Linked DNA regions of Drosophila melanogaster. The protein of the gene in region 3 interacts with the protein of the main gene of each other region in a pairwise test. Each region holds a gene or a part of one and is shown on either strand. Other genes may lie near its edges.

Evidence for each region. Proteins that work in one complex are often made in the same cells at the same time.
Region 1: the proteins of CG7407 (region 3) and RIC-3 interact in a two-hybrid assay, tested with the Drosophila melanogaster proteins (one large-scale study listed by BioGRID).
Region 2: the proteins of CG7407 (region 3) and CG34170 interact in a two-hybrid assay, tested with the Drosophila melanogaster proteins (one large-scale study listed by BioGRID).

What each region holds. Positions count from the first base shown.
Region 1 is NT_033778.4:21,016,083-21,023,823, forward strand, and holds the start of RIC-3 (RIC3 acetylcholine receptor chaperone), read left to right. Parts: upstream 1-1,701; 5' UTR 1,702-1,870; intron 1,871-2,062; exon of another isoform or gene 2,063-2,186; intron 2,187-2,649; exon of another isoform or gene 2,650-2,676; intron 2,677-2,980; exon of another isoform or gene 2,981-3,000; intron 3,001-3,076; 5' UTR 3,077-3,304; coding exon 3,305-3,500; intron 3,501-3,657; coding exon 3,658-3,777; intron 3,778-4,004; coding exon 4,005-4,159; intron 4,160-4,910; coding exon 4,911-5,051; intron 5,052-5,108; coding exon 5,109-5,235; intron 5,236-5,418; coding exon of another isoform or gene 5,419-5,439; intron 5,440-5,803; coding exon 5,804-6,051; intron 6,052-6,251; coding exon of another isoform or gene 6,252-6,293; exon of another isoform or gene 6,294-6,380; intron 6,381-6,982; coding exon of another isoform or gene 6,983-7,083; intron 7,084-7,351; coding exon 7,352-7,504; intron 7,505-7,579; coding exon 7,580-7,672; intron 7,673-7,741. Other genes in the region: Sou (souji), read right to left, coding at 1-1,118.
Region 2 is NT_033779.5:17,310,928-17,313,737, forward strand, and holds CG34170 (uncharacterized protein), read right to left. Parts: upstream 894-2,810; 5' UTR 833-893; coding exon 644-832; 3' UTR 541-643; downstream 1-540.
Region 3 is NT_037436.4:21,821,793-21,825,097, reverse strand, and holds CG7407 (uncharacterized protein), read right to left. Parts: upstream 1,638-3,305; 5' UTR 1,567-1,637; coding exon 1,435-1,566; intron 1,373-1,434; coding exon 998-1,372; 3' UTR 527-997; downstream 1-526. Other genes in the region: eIF2A (eukaryotic translation initiation factor 2A), read right to left, coding at 21-60; CycH (cyclin H), read right to left, coding at 1,870-1,987, 2,046-2,157, 2,213-2,441, 2,501-2,702, 2,779-3,092.

The DNA.
Region 1 (7,741 bases), on a different chromosome or scaffold from region 3:
GAGTGGAATCGGAATTCCGGCTGCAGATCGATCTCAATGGGCAACTCGTCGCAGCCGTTCCACATGCCAAGGACTTGGCGCGACTGCATCACCTGCTTGATATTGAGCAAGGCGGGCAGGGCAGTGCATCCGGCATTGACCACAACAGACAGGGCGGAGTTCTTGCTAATGCCTAGCAGTTGGCATGCGTCTTTGAGGAATATGAACGACAGTTCGGTCCACTTCTCCTGGCCCAAGAAGTGCTTGTAAGGCGAGTTCTCCAGTCCACTGGGCAGATATATAAAGCTGGCCATCAAGTTGGCTATTTCGTGCTCATAGCGCACAGCAAACTTCTTGAAGTTCAGTCGAGCGTAGGAGATGGCCTCGCGCTGCGAGTCCAATCCGTAGGAGACCAGCTGCATGAAACGCATGCGGTGCAGCCGGAACTCTATGAGCGAGTGGCGGTCACTCAGCTGCTGGGAGTACATCTTTGCCCACTTGAGGGCGTCAGTCAGATCCCGCTTTTGGATCTTCACCCAAATGCCGTAGATGTCGGCAAACTCGCGCTCCGAGTCGAACACATCCTGGGCATGCTCCGGCGACATCTTGCACTCGCGGATTAGCGTGCGAGCCACATCGTCCATGCCCTGGCGACAATAATGCTTGGCAATGGCCTTGTTCAGCAACATCAGGTTCTCCTCGTCCTGCAGCACGTCCACTCGCATGGTGGACGAGAAGTCGGCGCTAAAGTTGCGGTCAATGGCCTTGCCGATCTTCGAAATGGAGCCGTGCAGATCGCGGTGCTCCGTGGACAGTTTTTGCACGCGCTCGTGGCACCTGGCGAGAGCATTCCGGACGCTCTCCACTTGGCGCTCGGTTAGGCGTTGTGGTGCCGTCGGTTCCGTCTCCACCTGCATGCTCACCGCATCGCCCATGGGATCGTCCTGGGACACCTGGGTGCTCGAGTTCAGAGTGGTCACCAGCTGCTCCGCCCTGCTGAGAACCTCTACCAGCTCCGACATCTGTGTGGCTATATCTCCGATGTCCGCCTCTGCGTTCTCGTGAAGCTGCTCCAGTTTGCTGACCACTCGGGTCAGGTCCTTCTCCACCGACGAACAGGCCAACGACTCGCTGTCCATTGTTAGCTCCAGTTTCGTGGGGTGAAAGCCTAGAAACCAGTCACGCCAGGCGCGCGTTCACTTTCGATTTTACAACCTTTTGCTTTCGAGGATTGATAGCACTGTGATTCTTCAAAGTCACGACGATATTCGGTGGTCCAGCGGAAAATGCGTATTTATAAATTGTTAATTTTATAACACAAAGAAGACGAAAACATTGGAGCTGGGTGGACCACTCACGATGCTATCGATAAATCGAATAATTTTAATTTCGATAAAGGGCAACAGTGCTGAGCGAATTAATATTTGTATATTCCGCATTTTACGTATTACCGTTATATTGGATCCTTAGTTGATCCTTAGTTATATATAGTTAGTCTAGTTTAACATCATAATAATGCATAATAAAGTAACCATTTTACGAACCAAATATATATTTGACCTTTATATATTAATAATAATGTGATTCCATTTAAAACAATTACAAATATACAAAAATTTATTAAATCCCATAAGCCTTCTATCAGTGTAAAGGATCCGTTAACTTTAAACGATAGAAAAGTATCGATAGCACTCGCATGCATCGATTGACAGCCAATGCTGCCCATCTCCGTTCGGTCGACTGAAAAATCAATTATTATTGCTGCTGCTTTCTGGCAGAGAAACTTATAACGACAAACAAACAGTTTGAAATTAGCGTAATTAGATAAGAAAACGAACTTTGAAACCAAAGGTGTTAGTCTTTAAAAACGAAACTGATAATTATTTAAAAGGTACCTCAGAACACGAGAGCAATTCCAAGGACAAAATCTCCACACTTTGAATTCATAATTTTTAAAAATAAGTGATGAGTCTTAAGCCGAACGGCATTGAACCCAAATTACAAATGCTGTGCCTCCAAAAATAAAAGCGCAGAGAGCTCGAAAAACGTTTTCCAAATTAATGTAGACAGTGACAAGAAGAGGGAAATTTTTAAAATAAAAGTGGTGGAAATAAGAAGATGCTGTGCAAATAACAGACGTGCATAGTAAAAACAATTTTACTTTCGCCACTTTTCAGTCAGTGCGCTTGAAAGCGAAATGGAAAACGGTCGGAAAACTCATAGCACTTGGCAGTGTGTGTGTGCGTGTGTGATAACAAGAGCGAAGAAGCTGCGAAATGAAAAATATGAAAACACGAAATTTCGCACACAGTGCTGGTCAGCAAAACAGCAGCAATAGCTCAAAAAATTAAATTTAAAATTATATTATAAAATTTTTTTGCTGAAATATTTCAAATTAAGTTTGCCCAATTTCCCAAGCAGTTATATGTATTTTGATTTAAAATCTATTTCCGAAATGAATTAGAGAGCATTAATGTTATGTCGGCTGCTGTAGCGTAGCTCTCGGAAATTCCCGGTGCAGGCCCAAGCTGCAAATCACTTGTCTCATCAAAAATAAAGGAAAATAATGGCCGACGACGATTATGGGGAAAAGCGCGCCCGAATGGTGTGTCGGGTCTTCAGATCTGATCTGCCGAAAATTCGCTAATAGTTTCAAAAATTTGCCTGGCCAGTTCGGGAACAACATTCGAACTTTGCGTAAGCAGTCGCTCTGTCCAGTTTTCTGTTTTCATTTTTTTTCGAACCCTTGGTCGTTCAAAAACCGTTTTCCAAAAGCGATACGAAAGCATTTTCTTTTGGAGAAACGTTCAATATTATTTATGCGGTCGTTAATTGTGATTTGTGCGGTGGGAAAAGTGAAAATAATAAAGAATTATTAGACGGGCCGAAAAGAGCGAATTGCGCGAGCTAAAAATAAAAAAGATCGGGACCGCTATTTATGTAATAAACTTTTTTGTTTTCCCGCAACAATATTCAAACGTATACAGCATTTTGCGCTGCGATTCGTGACCGATCAGTGATGTGAATACAACTCCAACGAAAGCCGGAATCAGCGAACTGTAGCGTGTAACCGATTATGCATCTATGTATCTTTCAGATAATGCTTTAAACGTACAGCAAATCAACCATTAGCCAGCCAAAATGAGCCAATGCCAAAGTTAAACAGCAACTAGAAACACAGCGCATAGTCAACAGCTCGCAGGGAGCCATCAACGAACCAAATCGATCAGGAACACATAGCAGAGTTGCCTTAGGGACTAGCTTTAACCACGAACCCATAGCCAAACGAATCCAGATAGCCCACGGAATCCGCTACCAAGCCAAAATGCCCGCTACAGCCACATCCAAGCCGAGAGCTCCGCTCGTCGAGGAGGGCATGACGCCCAAGAAGACCGCCCTGATCATCGTAACCGTGATCGGATGCATTGCCATCCTGTGGCCAAAGGTCTTCCATCCCATGATGTTCGGAGGAGTGCCTCCAAGCCAGCCAAACTTCAAGGATCCACGAGCAGCACCAGGCGGTAAGTCATCAGATTCTATTCACCACATTAGGAGCTAGGGCTTATAAATGTTGTACTTTACTTAATTTCATTTATCATTTATTATTTATGAATTATCATCATGATTTTCTTTTGATTTCCGTATGTGGGTGTTGTTGTTGTCCGGTCGATGTTGTAGGATGTTGTGATGTCGTCCTGGACAGGGAGCAGTTTCTGAATGCCACGAAGAAGGACACTGTCGAGCCCTTCGGTCCGCATTTGTATCGCAAGCAAATCAATGTTTACACGGGCGAAATAAGTATGTGGCTCGATTATTTATAATTTGCTTATTGGTTTTACTAACGGTGTTTGGCTCTACTAACAAGATTGTATCTACATGAAACAATCGATTGAGATACATTTAGATTCCTAACCTTTACGGTATTAATGAGTTTATTAATGTTTGGGTTTCTAAAATGTAGTGTTTATGTCAATTAAAAATTTGATAGTTTAATTGTGTTACTAATGAATCCATTGTGGTCGCAGGTCTGCGCCAGGAGCGTCCCGCCCACCTGCATCCGGAATCCATATACCAGGCCATGAGGGAGCGGGGTCGCGCCATTCCCGCCACGCCCACCGTGCCGATTCTAGAACGAAAGACTTCGCCCAGTAATCCGCCTCCGCGGATTGTCGACGGACGGGTGAGTTGGGCTACTATACATTTAACCATACGGTGTGCATTATTCTCCGGACGATAAATCCATAATTATAATATATATAGTTATACTGGTCGGCGGGCTGTGGTCGATGTGATTATAATGACGGCGGGATGAGACATATCCGCGCTCGCGTTGGAAGTCATTTATAAATAGCCAAACGTTTATTTTATTCGGATTCGGGTTTTGTTTTTATGACACTGCACGCAAATTGAAGGCAAGAGACAGCGCTAAAGAAAACACAAAAAAAGAATTTGTAAATGATGAGTGGGAGATCGGCCGAATGTGCTGCTGCGTATTGAACTTGTGCCAAATTCAGTGCGCCAGTTCCATTTTGCTCTCATCGCTACTAGAATGCTAGAATGGCCGGGGAGCACAAATCAGCTGTCCTCGCCTCATGTCAAAATACAACGGGGCGGATACGTAATTTTAATGATTACATGGGTTGTCAATAAAACACAATCGATTCCCTTCTCCTACAAAGACATCAATTCAAAAGATTTCGAAGACAACTGTCTTGAGTAATCTTTATGTCAATATACATCGCGGCGGATACGTAATTTTTATGATTACATAGGACAATAGAATATACATATTCGATCAGTTCAAAAATATCTAAAGACAATTGACTTAAGAAACCACCGGGGCGTATACCTGATACATTTAATATGACCTTGATTGTTGGCGGCATTCTATTGTATTTCAGTAACTTTTGACATATGTATGTACTTTCTAGCCTGGACCCATTCCTGGAATGCGTCCACCCATGGGCGCCGGTGCACTGCATCAGCCACAACAGCGGGGCAGCAGCATGGGCTTCCTAATGCCACTCTACACCATTGGCATCGTAGTCTTCTTCGGCTACACCCTAATGAAGGTGACTCTCTTTGATCGTATATATGTAATTATAATACTATAAAACTCTTACATGCAGATTATGTTCAAGAAGCAAGTTCCCAATGATCCGTACGGAGCGGCGCCTCCAAATCCTGCCTTCCGGCAGGAGGTCTTCGGATCACAGAACCACAGCCAGGTGGAGGATTTGGGCGGCAGCAAACTGGGTGAGTGCCAGGCCAATTCGGATGCCATCTTCCGGATTATTACACTCGTAGTTGGACACACACACACACAATCGCTCTAGCCACCGCACTCACGATTCAATCCTAACCGAAAAAAAATCGCATTTTGTACTCTTCTGCTTCCAAAAAAACCCATGCACACCGAAAATCATGCCACGGTATCAGGCTGGCGAGAGCATCAGACAAGTAAGCCAGATATATATAGATGGTTGCATAGATGACCATAGAGTTTCGTTCGTATCTTGAGTTTCTAGACCTCGACAAAGGCCTTTTGAGTTTTGAAATATGTCCTCCTCATTTGGTATCGTAGTATCGTAGCGACTATGTGTTCTATTTCATTTACCTAGATGTACTCATTCTAGATGTTGTGTGCCTATATACTATTTATAAATATATATATATACTAACCCCGAATTGATCACGCTTCCATGGATATATACATTTATTTTGTTGCCACTCCTGCACCCGTGTAAATACTCCTTAGTTTCGTTAGTCCCTCGATTGATTCGATTTCCGGCCCTGATTACCAAACCGTACGACAATTTTATAGGAGCTGCCACCGCCACTGCCGCCGCAAAGAAGCCGGCCGCCAAGGACACCGAAAAGGAGCTGTACAACGCCAGTGTGTCGGCCACCGAGGTGGCGAGCAGTTTGTCCGCCTCTCTGAAGAGCCACCAGCAGCTGAAGGAGGCCGAGCAGCTGATGGAGATCGAGAAGCTGCGCCAGAAACTCGAGAGCACGGAGCGGGCGATGGCCCAGTTGGTGGCCGAAATGAACACCGATCAGTATGAGGCAAAGGTTAGCATCCAGCATCCAGTATCCAGTAGCTTCCTACCATCGTCATCGAATCGGAAAAAAGCAGATACAGATACAGATATAGCTATACAACGCGACTCAGATACATCTAGTAGCACATCATATATCGTAGTGATTTCAGTTGGACCATCTCGCTGTCATTTGAATTAATATTTGATCTCTTTTGTGTTCTCATTTTCAAGATGATTGCCCTCAAGTTTCTCAAGCGGCAGCCAAACTTCTAAGACAATAATAACCATCATTCAGTTCACATAGAATCAGTCAGTAAAACAGACCAAAATCAGACCAACAACAACTCAGATCACAACTAAGTACAACGAACAAAGTCAACTAGATTATTTCTGTTTTCAATTGGTTTCTAGTGAATAGCTGAATCCTCGGAATGGTTTCTTTTACCCCCCTGCCACATCCTCCCCCCCAAAAAAAGCCTTCAGTTCTAAAACTATGTCACTCTGTCCTTAATCTTCAAGTCTAACAAGTGCATGGAACGGAATTCTCCCGACTCTGTTTCTAATTTAACCTGCTTGTCTGCTGTCGGCATGCGATATATGCATATATATATATATATATAAACATATCTTTTCACATACTCGTATCTACTAACGAACCCAGTCTAAATGTGTTTGCATCTCACTGAGTACTCTCGATCTGAACTAAACTAAACTCTTATGATGGGGACATATTTTACGATTCAAAGCAGTCTTATTCGAAATCTATTCGAACACTATACGTAACTTTACATTGCCAATAAAGATAATCGCAAACATCATTTCATACTCAGAGCTACAAAGAAACAACTATATAAATATTCACTCTCTGTGTCGTTTCTACGTTTTTCATGTTTCTCGCAAAAACACAAAAAAAAAAATGAATGTAAATCCCAAATTGATACCCTGTACTTTCATGGGGCTAGTTGTTACGGCCATACAAGGTTTGATAGACGCGGCCGACGAGCAATTGAATGGCCAAGACAAGCAGAGGGCGACGAGCGACACTGAAACTGATTCGAATAAGGTTAGAGACCTTCAAAGGGTCCGGCACGGCAATCCTTGAACATATAATTTGTAACAAGAACTTAATCTTTTTGTTTATTAACCAAGATCCTTCGACTAATTGAGTTTTGTTGCGTTTCACCTAACCACAACGAATTGAAGTAATTAATGCGTTCGATTTCTGATTTCTTGCGTTTTGAGGCTGTATAGAATTGCTTAGCTCTCACATTCTACTGACTGTTTCGAGAGTGTCCTCTCTAACCGTATTATATCCTGTGTATCCTGTGCAGAAAAACGACAACGAAAAAACGAGGGAGCAACCACTAGACAAGCAGAACCTATCCAATGGACATGCAAGCAGCACCGACCAAAATCCGGAGCAGGAGACCGTGGCGAAGGGAGCCAGGAAACGGCGGGATCTAAGCGCTGAACAGGAACTGACGGTATGCCATTATATACCCTGTATAGCACCTTTGAGTACGTAGATCTTTGCCGTAAATAATCGAATATTGGTGCAGGTACTCGGCATGGAGTTAACAGCCAGTTGCGAGGGCGGCCACAAGTGGACTGGACGCCCTCCAACGCCTGTTTTCCGAGCGCCAAGCGAACATGTAAGTGCCACTGACGCACAGACCCCCCACCACTTTCAAGTTCTCAACTTAACTAGACTAGTTTCGACT
Region 2 (2,810 bases), on a different chromosome or scaffold from region 3:
ATCAGTTATGTTGTACTGCATTATAAACTACCCAATAAATGACCCCCGTGACTTTTAACGCCAGTGCACTTTGTCTGTAGATTCGAAAAACGTGAATTTCCATTTTCTTTTTTATGCGCTGAACTTTTTTTGTAATTTTTACGATAAATTGCGCGTGAATGATGCATAAATCAAACGAAGTTGAGGCATTTTATATACGAGAGTGTATATGAGCTCTGTCAAATGTATCGACCGAGTAAAAATTTACATAGCATCCGTTTTGGGTCCATCAAGCAGTGATAAATATGTAGGTGCATGGTAATAAGAGCCGGCAGAAAAATATGCACATGCATTTTTAACAACGATTTAAGGATGAATTTCATGAAAATCGAGCTTGATGAATAAAAATATCAATTTGGATTGACGGAATTACGGGATTTCATTTGAGAGACAACTCAAAGAGCTTTGTATGTGAAGGAGAGCTCATAAAGAATATATAACACGCTAATGAATGCATTACACAACTTTTTTTTTGGATCCAACTTTAATCTTTAATGGAATAAAAGGGTTTTTTTTAACAAAATCAAAAGATTTATGTGTACTTTTTTTTAAATTACTTTTTATTTATGACACATTTATGTAGAATTGTCCACATTTAGGGGGATTATGACGTCGGATCTATTCGCTCCCGATTTATATGAAAGTAGGCGAGAAAAATTATGAAGACGGCCAATCCGACGAGTCCGCACCAGAAGCCAAAGGATCCGCAATTGAATCCATCCCGGTATACCTCGCAAATGTCCCCGCCAACAATCAGATTCAGCTTATCCTTAACGCCAGGTGATCCAGCCATGGAATATTTTTCCGGCTCCCCAAATTTAAGCCACAAATTTTGAAGTTTTTCTAAAGGCCGAGAGTAATGTGTGGGCCACAGGCTCCTGGGATTAGGATTCGTGTACGCCGTGCCTCATCGGAAAAGTACGCTAACAATGATGAATCATCATGGAGGGCAACAGGATATGCCTGCAACGTAATTGAATTTAGTGCTAATGATGGCATTGACGATAGCACATAATATTCGGCATTAATTCAAGCAGACATTAATTGATTGATTATTTGATTGCATTATTGTCAATATCACAATTGCAATTTGGTCGCTCCGCTTCAACGGGTCGTCCTGTGTATCTGTATCCTGGGTGTCCGTCGAGCGCGACACATTCGCGAAATTGAATGTTTGTCATCAGGCCAACAACATTGATAATAATAATTTAGCACAATTTACACGATGACAGCCATAATTAATCGATGCAATCGTGCCTTCAAATAGCAGTTGAAACGGGGCTTATTATGGGCACTGGAAATAAAAACGAACTGGTGTATATACTTAAATTGTTTGCATAAAAAACAACAAAAATTTACATTTAACGTAATATTTCGGGAAATTATAAAAGAGCTTCTCAAAATAATTATTTTAGTTACCATTGTATTCGCAGGACACCGCAAATTGTTTGTAATAAAGATTTCACCTGAAGTCCATTCATTTTCATGTTAATTCACTGGCCTTCCTGTAGCAGGTGAATATTTGACTTAAGAGCCGGATAAAACTTGCGTTTTGCTAAAGAAAAGACGAGGGAAATATTTAATTTACATTTAACTTTCTGCCGCCCCTTTCCACTCAGCAATTATGTGGCCCGAGGAGATTCTAAGCGAAATTTTGTGCGCCCTGCAATTATACAAAAATTCTTCTTGGTCTCGTTTCTTTCTCGTATTGCATTATTCATGGGCAGGGGCTAAGCAAATTAAAAGCCAGCTTCCCAGCCCAGCTGGCCAAATAATTGTTTGAAGTTCGCTCTTGGCCTGGCCTGTAATCTGCCGCAGTTTTGGCCACTAATTTCGCCCTGAGACAAAACCGCCTACCGAAAAGAGTACTCCGCAAGCACTAAGCTCAATTGAAATTGCTTCTGGGATAGGGAGGCAAGAAGGAAGACTGCTCGAAATGCCGTAGAGTAATTGAAATATTGGCAGCGAGCTCAACTCGTAAATTATGCACTCGAATCCAAGCATAAAAAAAAAAAAAAAACGAGGGAATACTCACAACAGTTCGCTGTGTAAACTAAAGATAGGGAAAGAGCCAACTTTCCTGAGATTCCCTTTAATTTATAATTTATCAGTTTTGTGCTTTTGAAGCTGTTTTTGGCTGCCCAACAAGAAAACTTTGATTGCGGTAATTAGCAAATTGTGCAACTCTCTCAAGGTCCACTCCCCCTTTTACCTCTTCTACCTGGAAGGCAACAAAATGGTGGTACAAAGTTTGAGTGAAAATGTATATGTTAAACTGCATTACAACATTTAATTAAATATTTAACTAAAAGGGGCAAGTTGTTGGAAATTTTGTATGCGTAAAAGTGTGCTACGAATTACAACAATTACATTTACAAAACCTTTGTAATTGACTTTTTATCAATGCTTTACATATCCCATATATTATAAGCAAACTAGCTTCTTAAACTACCTTTTTATTTTCAGTTGTGTAGTGGGAGTTCAACTAAAGTTGTGTGAAAAGGGTAAGCCGGGTAAACCAATTTGCTCAGGGTCCCTAACATATCTGCCAGAATATATGTATATCGCACAATGAAATTGCCTATGTGGCAATATAGTTTCCTGCCATATATGTATGTAGCTACTGCAGCAGGGAACATCAATTTTGTTTCCCTCCGCCCGGCTTTTATTATTGTTACTTCGAGGCTGCCACAATCCGATGCCCAACCCCTGCTGCGTTTTTGCCAGGTAAAAACCTAAGCTAAGCAAACATACAAAAAAGTGTTAGTATG
Region 3 (3,305 bases):
TGCATCCGGGCTATACTCACTGGCAAGGGTAGGAACAACCAGATCCGCAGCTGCAGCCATTGTCTTCCAATCTCACACGCACACACACACAGGAACAAGCACGTCGGTGGTGTTGTTGCTGTTGTTTTTGTTGTCGTGTCGTCTGATGTACAATCAGTGTTGGTCAACGATTTCGTGCTTGAATTGGTCACACACGGTTGCCGTGTACGCGGTGTATCGATAAGCGATAGTAAACATGCATGGGCATTGGCGCCACAACGACACGTTTAAACATCAACCAAACCAAACCGAACGTATTTAGAACTCCAACAAAATATCTGCTCCACGTGAATTTAAAAACATTTTAGTACTAAAAAATTTGGAACAGAAACGCTAAGCATTTCGACTGCTCCAATCGAAGGTGTGCTGATGGAATCTATATGTTAGAACAATTATTTTCAAAAATCCAATCGCGGCATATAAAATATGAGCGGTTATTTTCGGATATTTGGCTAGGAAACGGTAGGAAATATTTAGAGTATATATTACATCTTAACACAGCTAAACATTCTTTATTGAACAAATAAATCCAAAGTTATATGAACACAATTTAAATCTAACCAACGAATTTGGCGATTAATTGTGTTTAAATCTATACACTTTCTGATCGCGAGTTTTTATCTTGTAACACGTTAAAATATATACATATATTCTTAATTCGAAAGCTGATTTAAGAGACTAAGAGCCGAACAGCCATTTACTACAAATCTAAATCAGATATTAATAACACCAGGAACTCACAAAATACATAGATCGAAGTGGAATACATATAATTTACATACAACTAAGATATTATATTCCGACATCATCGACTGATGAGATAGCTCTCTGACTAAAGACTTGCCCGCACTTAGTGGACCGTATGAGGCAACACCAAATCTTGGAATTTTAAACATTAAACTAATAGATCACACAAGTCTGTACATTCAGGTAGGGTGAGCCCAGGCTCGGCGCCACTTCAGCGATAGAGCCGCACCTGCTGCTTGAGATCCTGGTCGCTTATTCGGTCCTGGAGGTTCAATTCCGCCTCCTGTTTGCGCAGGAGCTCAAAGATGGCCGCCAGCTGCTCGCGCTCTATTCGGCGCTCCTCCTCGATTTGGCTGGGAGTCAGGGTCTTCTCCATCTTATGCTGGAGCCTCTTGGCCTTGAGCTGGCCCATCAGGTGGTTGTAGCTGTGCTCGGGCAGCTGTTCCTCGATTAGCTCAACTTCGCTTTCGGTGGAGTTCTCTTCGTAGGCCTCGTCATCGTCGGTTTCCTCCCCTTGCGGAGTCCGTGACTCGGAATCCTCCTCATCGCGCGGCTCGTCGGCCCCCAGGCCCTCGTCCTCCAGTTCCTGCAAGATAATGTAAGGAAATATTCCAGGAGACGTCTACTTCTTCCGGCAAAAACACCCACGCCTTTGTCCTTGAAGATGTTGGCGAAGTAGAAGGCGACCAAAACGCACAGCAGAAGGGTGACCAGCGCTACCGAGTAGTGGCCTGGTAGTCCAAGAAAGAGAACATCCAGCGAAGGCAGAAAATCCTGCATTTCGAACTCTTTTTGCTATTTGTTGTGACTGAGTTCACTATTCTTGTTTTTCTTGGGGCGCAGTGTGGCCGTTAGCTGCGAACGAAATATTGCCAAGCAGCGCTAAGCGGATTTTCAAAAGGTTTTTTTTTTAATATTTTATATATTGGAAAAGTGAAGTACCTAATCCAACTTTGTTTAGTAAACTAACACTAAACGCATACATTTTAACAATCAAGAAATGGTAAATTACAAAATGCTTTAATATCGATGAAATCCACGCAGTAGTAGATCATCACATCATTTAAATAAATATTCTTAAGTCTATTGGCTGATGTTCATAGCAGATGTGTCCGAGCTCACATCTGCAATGTGGAATGAGGCATCTTCGGCGGGCATGTCATCCTCATCGGTGTACAATCGGCGTAGGCGCTCCTTATAGCTTTTAAAGTATAAGGGTTATTAAATTCGGAATGCATGAACAAATTAGGGCGTCTTACAGTTCGCTATCAGGATTATTGGCTTGATTTCGGCACTTGTCCAACTTTTTCTCGATGGCCTTGACCTTCTCCCGATCGGGCTGCTGATATTGCTTCACCATTATGCGAATTTCTGTCGGGAAAAAGGCATGTAGGGCTGGGCGCACCATCTCACAGCACAAACTTACTTCGCACGGCATCTATGAGTCCGGGTAGCTTCTCCCTGGCGGAGACAAACAGAAGATCCGTCACATAGCTATCGAGATTCTCTTGCTCTCTGCTGGCCGCGTGGAGGACGGCAGCCAATGCAATTTGCGAAGGCGTATGCAGAAGACAGGCATCCGAGTAGTACGTGGAATCAATGAAACTATCAATATGTGGCCGCAGACGATCTGGATTCTGCATATTGCTGCGAGTCTGAAACAAACCAATATGAACGAAACAATCTGGAGAGCAAATGTGAATATATATCGCACTTTTATATCTATCAGGAAACCCTCGATGGGTCTGAACGGATTGTGTATGGTGAGGTAGTAGTTGAGCTGTCCAATCAGCAGTAATTCATTGGACAACACTATGTCGGTGGCCTTGTTCCTGTCGCCCTTGATGTTGTTTACGAACTGGTTGATGGACACGTTGAACTCCTCAACTTTGCAGGCAACGAACACGCATGTGGCTCTGAAAAGGTTTATACATTTTTAGAATGTTTTGCTTTTCAGCTGGGTGTTTGCTGCTCTCAGGTGAGCGTTCCTACAGAATCTCCTTGGGGTGATAGTCCATGGGGGAGTTGTTCAGATAGAACCGCTTGAAGTAGTGGAAGGCCGTGCCCACAACGCACTTGGGCATCGTCGGTTCGAAGCGGCGGCAGAAATCGAACAGGTAGATCTCGTACTGCTTCAGCAACAGGCGCTCCTCCGCCGACGTGAGAAAGTGCTCATTGAGGTCGCGACCCTGCGCCTCCTCCTCGTGCGACTCGATGTACTTGCTGTTCTGCTCCACGCGGAACTCCATGAGCTGGCCCTCATTGGCGAATGTCCAGGACCTCTTTTGCGAGCTCACAGGATACATCTTGCTCAGCTGCCGGCGAATTTATGCCGATTCGAAACTCAGACACCCTGCATGGTGTTACCGATTGCGGGACGGAGAAAAATACCAGTTGTGAAAAAATATTAGGGTGATTCGTACAATAGTCACTTTTATTTCATTGGAAATCAGAAGCGCAAGATTGGCAAAAATTGAGAACGTATAACTAACTGTATGGGCTATGATTTAATCAATAAG